3 linked regions of the Kluyveromyces lactis genome follow. The protein of the gene in region 2 purifies or fractionates together with the protein of the main gene of each other region. This does not show direct contact. Links are inferred from orthologs where the notes say so. Each region holds a gene or a part of one and is shown on either strand. Other genes may lie near its edges.

Region 1 (4,986 bases), on a different chromosome or scaffold from region 2:
AACTTCGAAGGCACTTCTCTGTTATCTTTATACACTCTTTCTAGCAATCTCATAGCCAGTTCTTGACGGAATTGTTGGATATAACTTTTTAAAAGCTCCACATCTGCTGGGTTGTCCAATGGAATGGAGTAGACAGTGTTCAATGGGAAACCTGGAGTGCCTGGGATAGCAAAGCTATCTAAACCTAGATTCATTAATTTCTTAACAGCTTCGTTATAACTAGTCGATAAATTCAAATTTGCCAAACAGTCGTTTATGAATAGAATGCCGTAGATTAATATTCTATCAGCTGGGGATTTGATCTCAAAGTTCTTAAAGAAGGAATTGGCACGGAAAAGATCTAGACATTCATCGATAATATCGTAGTCTGAATTGGACTGGTAAGCTGGTCCTCTATATTTCGTATTCAATGGAAGTAGTGCAAAGTTACCCACGAAACGATCAGTAGCTGGGTCCGCTAGAAAAGTAGAATGGAAAGCTGGCATTATGTGTTTGTATTAAGGTCTGACGAGATTATCACCCGATTTGATACTCCTGCGATTTTAATTCAGACGTACTTTAGCTACCTAATCATATATTTTACCACATATGTTATTTCATAGTTTAGTTTTCATATTGAAGTAGCTTTTCAGTTTTAGGCAGAGAAAAGGGGTTTCACTAACAGAAGTTACAACAGTTGATTCGATCACTTGGTGATGTATTAGTGATGATCTAAAGCATCAAGTAGGTATAGCAAAGGGAAGATAGAGGAGGGTCCGGAATTATCGAGGCCTAATCAACTAGTCTTTTGATACCATCCCAAAAGTAGCAATCACGTGACTCATGTAATACAGATTCAGCTTCCCCTGACTTCAAAAAATTACATAATACAATAAAAAATAAAAATACGCATACAGAAGCCACTGTGCCAATAGTCACGATAACCATCTGATTGAGGCTAGTGACAGGATCTGGAACAGCAAGGTTATACACAAATTACCGGACGTAAATTTCTATTTTCACTGCTATTTTTTTTTCCATATTTTTTGCTTGTTTTCCGCACTATGATGATGTCCCAAATCTCAACTTCATGCACCGATGTTTCGTAAGTTGAGAATTTGATTTGATTTGATCATTTGAAAGAAAATAACGGAAACCTGATAAATAATAAGGAGCAAGGCTTGATTGAAGGTTTTGTTGACACAGAGATTTGGGCTAAGAAAGTGTTATTTCGATACCGGAACGGCAGATTGGAAACTTAGGGTGGTGTACAGTAATCTGAGAGAGTACGTTTGGTGTGTGTGAACGGGAATAATTTCATAAGGCGCAATTACAAACTCTGTTCGGTTTTCGTTTTGGTTTCAGTTTTCCTTTATTATTGTATTTTTATTTTGGTTGAGGTTGTCTGTTATTCCAGTTCCAATATCCTTTCAAACTTGAGTATTCCATTATTCCTTTCATTTCTGGGATTAGTGTCTTTCTTTTTGCTTTTGGTTGACCTAAGAGAAGCTTAGAACAGGATTTTTGCATTAAGTGTCTTTTTGTTCTTTCTAAAGCGAGACAATGAGTTTTTCCTCCAATGATATGGAACAAGACTCCAGGAGGCAATTGTTCACCCAGATTTTTGGTATTGAGCGGCCTTTGTCGCCTCCCCCAAGTAATGTACCGAGAGAACTGCCAGATTCTTTAGATATGATGAGTTTAAAGGCTGTGCTCAATGAAGATGTAGAGAACGATTTACTGCAAAATAGAGGTCAGATCTCAGAAAACAAAACTGGGACTGAAAGGAGTGTTTTCAGAAGTCCTGTCCATGTTCGTCAAATAAGTGACGTTCCAAGTATGGACACGGAGGATGATATTGTGACTCCTCCAGAGTCGACTTCTCCACAGGCGTATCCACCAGAGGATCTTTCTTTACCTAAGCAGCGACCTATGTCGCATCATCATCATGGTAGACCAGCGCCGCCCGCCATGGACATGATTCATGAATCACCGAGAAGGTCAAAGAGTGAAAATTTCAATTCAAAGCCGTCTTTACCAAAACTTTCAACTACAGGACAAATTAACAACAACAGCAGCAACAACTATAGCAACAACATTAGTAATCTTAATTCACGGGGATCATTCAGTGCCAAAAAATCTCCGCTGCAAGGATTTGGACTATTTTCAAGATCTAGCTCGAAATATTTGCAAGCGGATGCAAACCTTTCGTCGAATAATTACAATAATAACTCATCATCTGATCACATTTTCGGAAGGACTCAGTCTATAAGTTCTTCTACTTTCAAAAACTTTACTTCTTCTTTGCATGGGAAAACTAAAACCGTTGGTGGTCGAACCATTCCGCAAAAGTACGATCACTCAACGAACCCATTGCTTGATTCAACGCTAGGTCTGGGCATCAAACAAAGAGCATCTTCTGCATCGTTGTCCACCGAATCAGCTATGTCGAGGCATATACGTAGAACATCCACCAGCTCATTACACACAAAGCATATAGTGGTATCAAGTTCTATTAGGAGACCCCAGGTGTATCCCGCAATGCTATCGAGAGTTGCGACAGCTTTCAGAAAGTCAATCACATTGTGCGAACACAAAAAAGATGGACTAGTTTACAGAGACGCATTTACTGGTCAACAAGCCATTGATGTCATCTGCTCAATAATAAGGACAAATGATCGTAATTTAGCTTTGTTATTGGGGAGAGCACTTGATGCTCAAAAACTCTTCCACGATGTGATTTATGAACACAGGCTTCGTGATTCCCCTAACGAAGTTTACGAATTTACAGGCAATTCCAGAGTTATCGGTAAAGGCATATATGAGATCGGTTCTACTAACAATTTCTCTGCTTCCCAATCCAGCACTACCATCGCACCTTCCAAATCCGAATCTAGTCTGTCTCTGATGGAGAAACCGGAGGATCTAGACTCTTATCATCAAGTGAACGGTGTATTCACATTGTTAGCAGAATGTTACTCTCCAACTTGTACTAGAAACAGGTTATGTTATTCTATTTCATGTCCAAAGCGACTCGAACAACAAGCTCGTTTGAATTTAAAGCCAAATGGTGGATTAAAAAGAAATATTTCTATGGCAATTGATGATGACGATGAAGAAAAATCATCATGGACAAGTTCTGTTCCAGAAGAACTCTGGAGTTCACTTACCAAACGTGAGATTAAAAGACAGGAAGCTATTTACGAAGTCTACAGCACAGAAAAGAAATTTGTCAAATCCCTTGAGATTCTTAGAGATACATTTATGAAGAAACTAGCTGAAACTAACATCATTCCTGCCGATATACGCAAAAATTTTATCAAACATGTTTTCGCCCATGTTAATGACATATATTCCGTAAACAGACGGCTCCTAGACGCTTTGTCAGAAAGACAAAAAGCATCTCCGATAGTCGATGGAATTGGTGATATTTTACTACGTTTCGTTCCATTTTTTGAACCTTTTGTTATGTATGTGGCATCCAGGCCGTATGCTAAATATTTGATCGAAACTCAGAGGTCCGTTAACCCATATTTCGCTCGGTTTGATGATGACCTGATGAACTCTAAGTTAAGACATGGGATTGATTCCTTTTTGTCTCAAGGTGTTTCTAGGCCAGGTCGTTATGTCCTACTTGTTAGAGAAATAATGAAGTCTACCGACCCTGAAACTGAAAAGAGGGACTTGGAGAATTTAACAAGGGCCCTAGAAGCCCTTCGTGCATTTATGAAACGTATTGATAAGGCTAGTGGTGCTGCTCAGGACAGACATGATGTTAAATTGTTGAAGCAAAAGATTCTTTTCAAGAATGAGTATGTCAACATGGGATTGAATGATGATAAACGGAAGATCAAGCATGAAGGCCTTCTATCAAGAAAAGAAATTACCAAGAATGAAAATGGTGTTACAGGTGACCTTCAATTTTATCTACTGGACAATATGTTATTATTTTTGAAGTCAAAAGCAGTCAATAAATGGAATCAACATAAAGTTTTCCAGCGGCCTATACCTCTCCCGTTGTTATTTGCCGCTCCTGGTGAAGAAATGCCAAGTTTAAAGAGACATATTTGCGGTAAACCGGATAGTCAAGGTATGGTTATTTATCCTGATGCAATCGCTGGCACGAATCCCAGAAATGCTATCTCTTTCACGTATTATGGTGCTAAAAACAAATACCAAGTAACGTTATACGCAGCACAGTTCGCAGCAATGCAAACGCTTCTTGAGAAGATAAAGCAGGAACAAGCTAGGATTATCAAAGAAAACGATATCTTTAACGTTTGCAAAATTAGTGATAGGTATTTTGATTACTCCAATAAGATTAACAGCGTTGCATCTTGTGATGGCGGACGGAAGTTAATAATCGCCACCTCGCAAGGCCTATTTTACAGTAACATTAGAAGAGCAGAAAACTCTATAATATTCGGGGCTCCTACAAAGCTTCTGACAAAGAGTAACATCTCACAACTCTCTGTGTTAGAAGAATTCCAATCGATCTTGATCTTAGCTGACAAAAAATTATACAGCTGTTCATTTGATATTTTAAAAATAACAGATCCTCAAGCGGGGAACACTTATTTCAAGAAACATGCCAAGGAACTAGTAACCCACGTCTCTTTCTTCAGTGATGGAGACTGTAACGGTAAAAAGTTAATCGTAACTGCACACACTTCTCACAATTCCATCAAATACTTTGAGCACGAACATCCATTATTGCATGAAAAGAAACACACCAAGAAGAAATTCACCGAGGTCGAGTTTGATAGCGAGCCAGTATCCATATCATTCTTAAAAGCGAATTTATGTATCGGTTGTAAAAAGGGTTTCCAAATTGTATCAGTATCACAAAACGCACACGAACCTTTATTAGACCCTGCGGACACCTCTTTAGATTTTGCATTAAAGGATTCACTACATCCTCAAGTCATATACCGCGTTGGAAACATGTTTTTCTTATGTTATACAGAATTCGCCTTCTTCGTCAACAACCAGGGCTGGCGTAAAAAA
Region 2 (3,631 bases):
CATGATTGCATGGTATCACTACACACATCCCATATACCCCGGTATCTCTCACTGAACAAATAATAATGGTATTTTATGTATAAACTCAAATCCTTTATTCTTTATTTTTGTATAATAGTAATATCAATTTTAATATAAGGTTATTTCATTGAAAAATTGAACTATCAAACATCAGTTTACTAATCATTTACTTGGGTACTCTGAGCGAGCTACCCTCTTGCGAAATCTACTGTGATGCTCGTTAAAGTGTGTGGTTTGCAAACCGTTGAAGCTGCAAAGACTGCTGTGGATGATGGTGCTGATTACTTAGGTATCATTTGTGTTCCCGGTAGGAAAAGAACCATTGACTCATCTGTTGCGAAAGGTATTTCAACTGCAGTTCACCAACAAGAGAACGTGAAAGGTACTAAACTAGTCGGGGTGTTTAGAAATCAGTCCGTTGATGATGTCCTTCAACTGTACCACGAATATAATCTAGATGTGATACAATTACATGGAGATGAAGATATTAAAGAATACAGATCTTTGATCCCATCTTCAATTCCAATCATTAAGAGGTTCCAGTTCCCACAGGATTGTGAATTACTACTGGACCTGTATGAACACGTAGACAATGTGCTGACGTTGTTCGATTCTGGTGAAGGTGGCACTGGTGAGAAATTGAATTGGAGTGCAATTTCCAGTTGGTCTGCAAGTCATCCCGAGATAAAATTCATTATCGCTGGTGGATTGAATCCTGATAACGTTTCTGTTGCCATTAATATGTTACCAAATGCGATCGGTGTCGATGTAAGTGGAGGAGTAGAGACTGATGGTATCAAGGATTTAGAAAAGGTAAAGCTATTCATCCAGCAGGCCTCTCAATAGAGGAAAAAACGTATCTTTCTTCAATTACACATACGTATATATAAATTGATATATATATAGTGAATGATCGTTCCACTTTTTAAGCAGAACCGGAGATGAAGAACCATTTGTCAATGGACTTGTCGATTGGTTCATCTGGCAAGACGTTAGCAGCTGGAACAGCAGAGGCAGCTTCGGCTGAGTAAGTAGCAGTGTCAGACAAAGTGGTGTTAGTCAAGTCGATCTTCTTGGCATCAGCAGACTTACCAGAAATCAACTTCTTCCAGGCTTCGTTACATTCTCTGATGACGTCCAAGGTGTACTTCTTGTTCTTGGCTTCACCGGAGAAGGCAAATTGGTTTTCTGGCTTACCATCTGGGATCTTGTAGATTCTGAACCATTCATTGGTGGCTCTCAACAAACCTGGTAAATGCTTTTCAACATCTTCGATGTCGTTCAACTTAGGAGCCAATGGATCGTTAATATCGATGGCAATGACCTTCCAGTCAGTTTCACCTTCGTCCAACAATGCCATAACACCAAGAACCTTGACTTGTTTCACTTGACCAGTGTAAGCAACTTGCTCACCGATTTCCAAGACATCCAATGGATCGTTGTCACCAACAGCCTTAGTCTCTGGGTGAGATTCGTTTGGATCTTCCCATGTTTGTGGGAAGGCACCGTAGTTGTGAATGTAACCGTGATGTGGGAAACAGTTTCTAACAAATCTTAACTTACCCTTCTTGGTGTCTTGAATAATTGGGTTCAATGGCTCTTCCTTGGTAATTTCCAACTTGGCATTGGTCCAACGTGGAATTTCAACAACCATGTTGAAGATACCATTGGCTTCATCAGCATACAATGGGATGTCGTGGAAAGCAGAAATTGGCTTACCATCCTTTTCAATGTAAACCTTGTAATCCAAGGAATTCTTGGCACCAACTTGTCTAGTAGTGTAACTCATCGTGTCCGGTGTATATATACGTTTGGCGGGGGGTATATAAGGCTGTATATCAATTGAAGAACCTAAGATCATATATATGGCGTCAGTGGCCAATGGTAAACCAGTGCAGGCATTTTTCATTCCTATTTATATATGAATTTTGCAACTTTTTTTTCCTCAGGTCGTCCACTTTGAGAGAACGACAGGATGGAAAAGAAGCAGATTGGTGCTTGAAGAAGCGATAGTTTAGGAAGTGGCTGATTCTGTGTTCGTGTGTAGGTGTGCTAGGGTATACATTAGGGTCTGTATATATTTGGTCCGATTGTATACAGTTGCAGTTGCATAGTGTATTTTTTTTAAAGTCATTGGGTTTAATCATGCTTCTCTCTTTGTAGTAACAGAGTTTCACATTAGGGGAAAATCACGTGATAAGAGTGCTTTTGGGGAAAAGCCACACGATAGGTACCGCATGGTCGTGGCTTGCTGAAACGGTAGGTCAACGTACAATCGACGTGTGTACTGACGAACAAACATTGACTGCAACACGATACCATTTTACAATAGTATACTGGTTAGCTTATCGCCCTTTTTTATTGAACCAGTGGTTGTGTATTCTCACATGAGCTTGATCATCTGATTGTAAAAGTATCAGGTGTAGTTGTTTTTCTTACCCCATCAAACAAGAAATTAACAGCTTCTATGGCCAAGTTGGTAAGGCGCCACACTAGTAATGTGGAGATCATCAGTTCGACTCTGGTTGGAAGCATTTTCTTTTTTGTCTCATGTGAGCAAGAGACACCACCTGTAATATGGCCTCGCTACCTAGTATACTTAGCCCATCACTGATGATTTGAACCACTACTCTATCCTATTACCAATTAAATAGATGTACACACACATATCTTCAGCATATCGAGTCTTCCCTTCATCGTATGAAGCCATCATCCATCACATCTTGATCTATTTCACCACCACCCATCGGAATGTTGTGCTGTCTCACACTCATCAACAGTTTCTGGAACTCATCATGGTGCATCTTATTTATCAGAACGTTAGGCCTCAACTGGAATCCTTGTCTACACAAGGGACACAACCCTTTTGATGTTTCAGTACTTAGCCATTGCTTGATACAATGAACATGGAAATTATGATTGCATAATCCTAACACAATTGGACATCCGCTACCAGGGTAATCACAGGAGGGGCAAGTAGCATCGTACCGGTTACGACAGATCCCACACACTTCATATTCTTCTTCATCGTTCTCTGCATCCTCATCTTCATTCTGTATATCTTCCCATTTTTCCATATGTACCGTTTGATCTGCAACACCATGTTTCCCTTTCGATAAATCCTTGGGAATATCCCACGCCCAAGTGCTCACTAGACTGACATCTGTTACCTCTATACGCATAGTAACACGGGTGAAGTATCCTTATCGCAGGCTTTATCCTCGTCACAGTTCCCTTCGTTCTGTCTTTGTGTTTTCAATTCTTCCTATCTAATCCTTTCTTATAATATATTATACCCATATGCATAAAAGTGTCACAGGTTCTATTACAAATTTAATAAAGGGATCAGATCCACTGTAGTATAGTATACGAATGTTTATATATGTTATAGGCCAAGTTTTAAGTCGCAGCAGCAGCTTTCTTCACGGATAAAGTAGATCCGGCCCATGTCTTCAAGCTCTGTAATAATGAATTATCCTCATGTAATCCAGCAAATTCATCGCTACCACCACGAGATATACCATTGATAATAACGTTAGGAACAGTAGACCTTCCTGTCTTGCTACCGATATATTTCTGTAGTTCAGCTCCATTCTCATGCTTATCCAAT
Region 3 (4,179 bases), on a different chromosome or scaffold from region 2:
ATGAGCCATTGGGAACTCCTTAGCCAAACGGTTGATATTGTTGAAGAACCTGTAAGACTTATCCATTCTCTTCTTAGCCAAATCAGAATCGAACAAACCTTGGTAATCAAAAGACGCTTCCTTAGTGGCATGATCGACTACATCTGCAGAAGCAGAAGCTTCAACGGATGAATTAGAATTAGAAGCGCTTGTGCTTGCAGTAGCAGTAGCGGCAGCGGCAGCAGAGGCTCCAGAAGCACTAGAAGCATAACCCCTACGTTGTTCCATAGCCTTACCCATAAATGGACATTGTTGAGCGATAGCTGGTAAGTTCGCATTCTTCAAAGCCTTGACACTCTGCATTGATCCAGTGGCAGAGTGCATAAATGGACAGATCTTGGCAGAAGAACGAATAACAGATTCCATGTTTTTTCAATCCAAAATGAAGACGGTTAAGTGTGTGCAAGGGAAACCAATAAAAGAAGCTTTCTCACTCGCAAAGATATAGCCACTTCTAACAGGTAGAATCTTTTTAAATTTTTCTCTTCAGTGACGAAAGTGAAACCTGGTGTATCAAAGAATATTTTACTCTAGATTAGAGAAGCACTGAACCAAAACCAAAGGTGTATCTTAAGTTAAACCTGAAGCTCATCTCTTATTATATAATTATGAAAACATATCATATTATATCTTTTTTTGAGTTTTCAGTCATTTTTTCCTCAGTCATTTTCATTTTCAGGCAATATGAGAGGATTTTACCTTTGAAATGATTCCGACATTGCCAGTTCCGCAGAAGATATTGTAGGAAGACAGGGAAGGGAAAAGGGAAAAAAAGAAATGCTGGACTTAGGAGCTTTTCTTTTTGGAGGTTTTCAGCCAATAAGAGTAGAGGATGATGTGAGCGAAGCGAAGAGCTGTGGCAGTAATGCTGGCCCTGGCCCTGGACCTGGCAGTTGAAGCTGGGGATTGGCCTGGATGAGCATGGTTCGCTTAGCGGGAGCAAGTCCGAGTTTAAGCTATGTTGGTGTCGCTTCGCGACACCAACCACCGCCAGAAATTTAACTTCTAGAGAATACCAATAACTAACTACTCTAACCAAATCTTATTATTACATATCATTACAATGAAGCTAGCTACGCAGGACAGTAAAAATAAAACCGCAAGGTCACATTTTCCTCAAGGCCTCGATGGCTTTCGGATGGCCAAGACGAGCAGCAGTTTCGTGGTGTACCTTGGCCTCTTGTATGTTTGGCTGACATCCAAGGCCTTTCTCCAAGTAAAATGCTAATGCATACTCTGCTCTTGGTAATTTCCCGTCAGATAATTTCGAAGCACGTGACACCCACTTGAAGGCCTCTACGTCGTTCGGTTTCAATATCCCCTCAGCACCGGTAAGGTACCAGCCACTAAGTGCTACCATGGCTAACGGGTTTGGTTTGGTCTTGTTCATGGAACTCTTTGCGTACCATGCAATGGACTTCTTGGGTATTACAGGTAGTCCCATCTCCCCAAATTCATAAAAATGACCCAATTTGTATTGGGCTTGAGAATAATCGAAGTCATGGGCGCATCTATAATAGTATTTGATCGATTTTTCCTTATCTTGAGTGATTCCGTTTCTCAGAAGCTCTTGTCTAACGGATTCGTCTAACTCTTCAAATCCGTAAATCTTACCCAACTCAACCATCGCTTGTGGCGATACTGATTCCAGTTCTACATGAGCCTTATCGTCTCGTGGGATTTCGATCTCCTTGGTAGCCATTCTAAACCAGTATAAAGCTTGTACAGGGTCTCTTTTGATAACGATTTCACCAGATTTCGTTCTCAGTCCTTTCAAATAGAACATCCCGAGCTTGTACATGGATACAGAATGTCCATTGGTCAAAGCTGCCATTTCATAGTACTTCTGTGAAATCTTTAAAGCTTCGTATTCACTCACAGTTGTGTAATCTACTCCACGTCCGTACTCGTAGCTGACACTGGTCCGATACATGGCATCCTTATGACCCATATCGGCTGCTCTGCGATAGTAGTCTAGAGCTTTTGCATCATTCTTAGACACGATATCCATGGGCCTTGGAATATCTACGTAAGGGTGGTGGGAATAAAGTGTCCCTAATAGGTAGATCGCTGGTGAATAGTTTAACTGAGTTAGTTTCGTTAACACGCGTAACGCATGCTCTAAAATGGTCCTTTTATTCTGTAGCATTTCGGTCTCAGTTAAATCCCGTTTCAACTTTTCAGCATTGATATTGTATCTGATTAAGAAAGTGGGCTTGAACGCATATTGCAACAGTGTCTCGCACCATTTCAACTGGATATCCTTCGTAAACTTGTTTGCGTCCTTGACGGTTCTGTCATATGCTTCATAAAACGCGACAGCCTCGGAAGAGTAATTTGAAAGATCCCGTTCACTCTTAGCACTGCTAGGCGGGTTATCCACTTTGGGTATGCTGACTTGCTGCGCCGGTGGTGGTTGTCGTGATACTGGCGTCGTTACCGTTGACTGGGAGCTTTGTCTTGTATCTTTCTCATACATTTGGTATGGAATATTCGTATCTGCAACATGATTCTGGGGCAGATCATCAACCGGATATGGTGTATTCTTACTTGGCTCGTGACCTGGCGGGTACATGTTTATGTAGTTGCCATACGCGTTTCTTTGTCGGTTGTTATCCATTCTATTTCTCTCAAGAGAACGATTTACCAATGTCCTATCCTTTCTACGAATTTCTTCCGTGCAAACGCTTTCGAATCCAATACTACTTGCAGAGCAACTCACTTACCCACAGACTCAAGCTGATACCAGAGGGCAGTGTTTCCAGAAGCCTAGTTGAAATGCTTAACGGCCACTGTATTTTTGTTGCAACTCATCGTTTCAGATTAATTCAATTTACCATTATTTTACTGATTTTCAGAGTATCGGATTCTGTCGCCTTTTTTTCATTTCTACTGCGACAGTACATATGAATCGCAGAAAGCGACTTTTAAATATAGAACGGATAAATAAATGTACATATTGTGTCAGTTTAATATGTTCAAGACAAACTAGGAATGCATTTCCAGAGACTTGCTATAGTTTCACTGTTTAAAAAGTCACTTAGGTCAAGAATTTCCAAGTACCTTCTGATTTTATGATTAAATACTGACGCTTCCCAAATATTCCATATTTTTCAATTATTTTTCGGTTTGGAAAAAGTTGTGTCTGTAGGAAAACTGATTGACAAACTAAGATTATAAGATGAGATGATGCTAAAAGCGTTGACAAGTAAGCAGCAATTGAGATCTTCATTAAGCTAACCTAGGTAGCTGTCAAGTAATATAAACTCCCGTTGAATTGATATTTTAATATTCAGAGCGCAAACATGGTGTGGCCATTTTCTAAGAGTAAAACGCAAGAAGCAAGTACCGAGGTGGAAAGGAGTATATCAGAGGAACAGCAATTAACGAATTATGCTAAAGGACAGAAGTTTCTATTTGAGGATACAAAACCCAAATTCAATAATGAGTCCAGTAGTATGGCTGCTCGAGAGCAGGAACGTGCGTCTTTGAAAGAGGCATGGAATACGATAGACGTGAAAGATTTCAGTGTCGAAAAGGTACTGTCAATTCCATGTTTCAGAGACGCAGGGATCGGAGGGTTTACATCGATGTTTGTTGTCGGATCAGTGATGTTCTTGTACCATAAGAATCCTGCTCGTGCGGCAAATTGGGGTGTAGGAGGTTTCATACTTGGATCCATTGTAGGATGGGAGCAATGTCGCATGCGTCGTAGACGAAGCTTCCAAGTGGCAGCAATGGCCAAACAGACTGTTGCAGCAAAGGAGAAACCAATGCTGAAACAGGTTAAGAATATAGATACAGTCAAGAAGGAATGGGAAGAGGGCTCTAGAAACAGTAAACCTTGGTACAAATTTTGGTAGGTGCAAGACATGATATTGACTTACCACCACGTGACCTCGTATCTTTTTTACCCAACATAAGACGTCGTAGGCAATATTTTAGGCATGTAGAGTGAGAATGAATAATTCTTGATTCCTGGCACAATAGTACAGGACATCATTTAATGACATATACCGTTTATAATACCACTGCATACACCACTGCACATACCCCTGCAGACATTCCAATTTACCGCTAAAGAGCTGACTCGTTCTGACCGCAGATTGTCTTCGTATTGACAAATCAAGTGGTGAAAAA

Evidence for each region. Proteins that work in one complex are often made in the same cells at the same time.
Region 1: the proteins of IPP1 (region 2) and ROM2 purify together in Saccharomyces cerevisiae (affinity purification with mass spectrometry; 4 studies listed by BioGRID). This does not show direct contact. The link is inferred for Kluyveromyces lactis from reciprocal best matches to the Saccharomyces cerevisiae genes IPP1 and ROM2.
Region 3: the proteins of IPP1 (region 2) and ACK1 purify together in Saccharomyces cerevisiae (affinity purification with mass spectrometry; 3 studies listed by BioGRID). This does not show direct contact. The link is inferred for Kluyveromyces lactis from reciprocal best matches to the Saccharomyces cerevisiae genes IPP1 and ACK1.

Annotation. Positions count from the first base shown.
Region 1 is NC_006038.1:683,200-688,185, reverse strand, and holds the start of ROM2 (Rho family guanine nucleotide exchange factor ROM2), read left to right. Parts: upstream 1-1,542; coding exon 1,543-4,986. Other genes in the region: ARC18 (Arc18p), read right to left, coding at 1-485. UniProt on the Saccharomyces cerevisiae protein: Stimulates the exchange of RHO1 GDP-bound form into GTP-bound form.
Region 2 is NC_006041.1:1,568,304-1,571,934, forward strand, and holds IPP1 (inorganic diphosphatase IPP1), read right to left. Parts: upstream 1,931-3,631; coding exon 947-1,930; downstream 1-946. Other genes in the region: phosphoribosylanthranilate isomerase TRP1, read left to right, coding at 235-867; APC11 (anaphase promoting complex subunit 11), read right to left, coding at 2,715-3,203; KLLA0_E17733g (glutaredoxin), read right to left, coding at 3,421-3,631.
Region 3 is NC_006039.1:1,307,776-1,311,954, reverse strand, and holds ACK1 (Ack1p), read right to left. Parts: upstream 2,660-4,179; coding exon 1,145-2,659; downstream 1-1,144. Other genes in the region: HEM1 (5-aminolevulinate synthase), read right to left, coding at 1-405; COX20 (Cox20p), read left to right, coding at 3,345-3,902.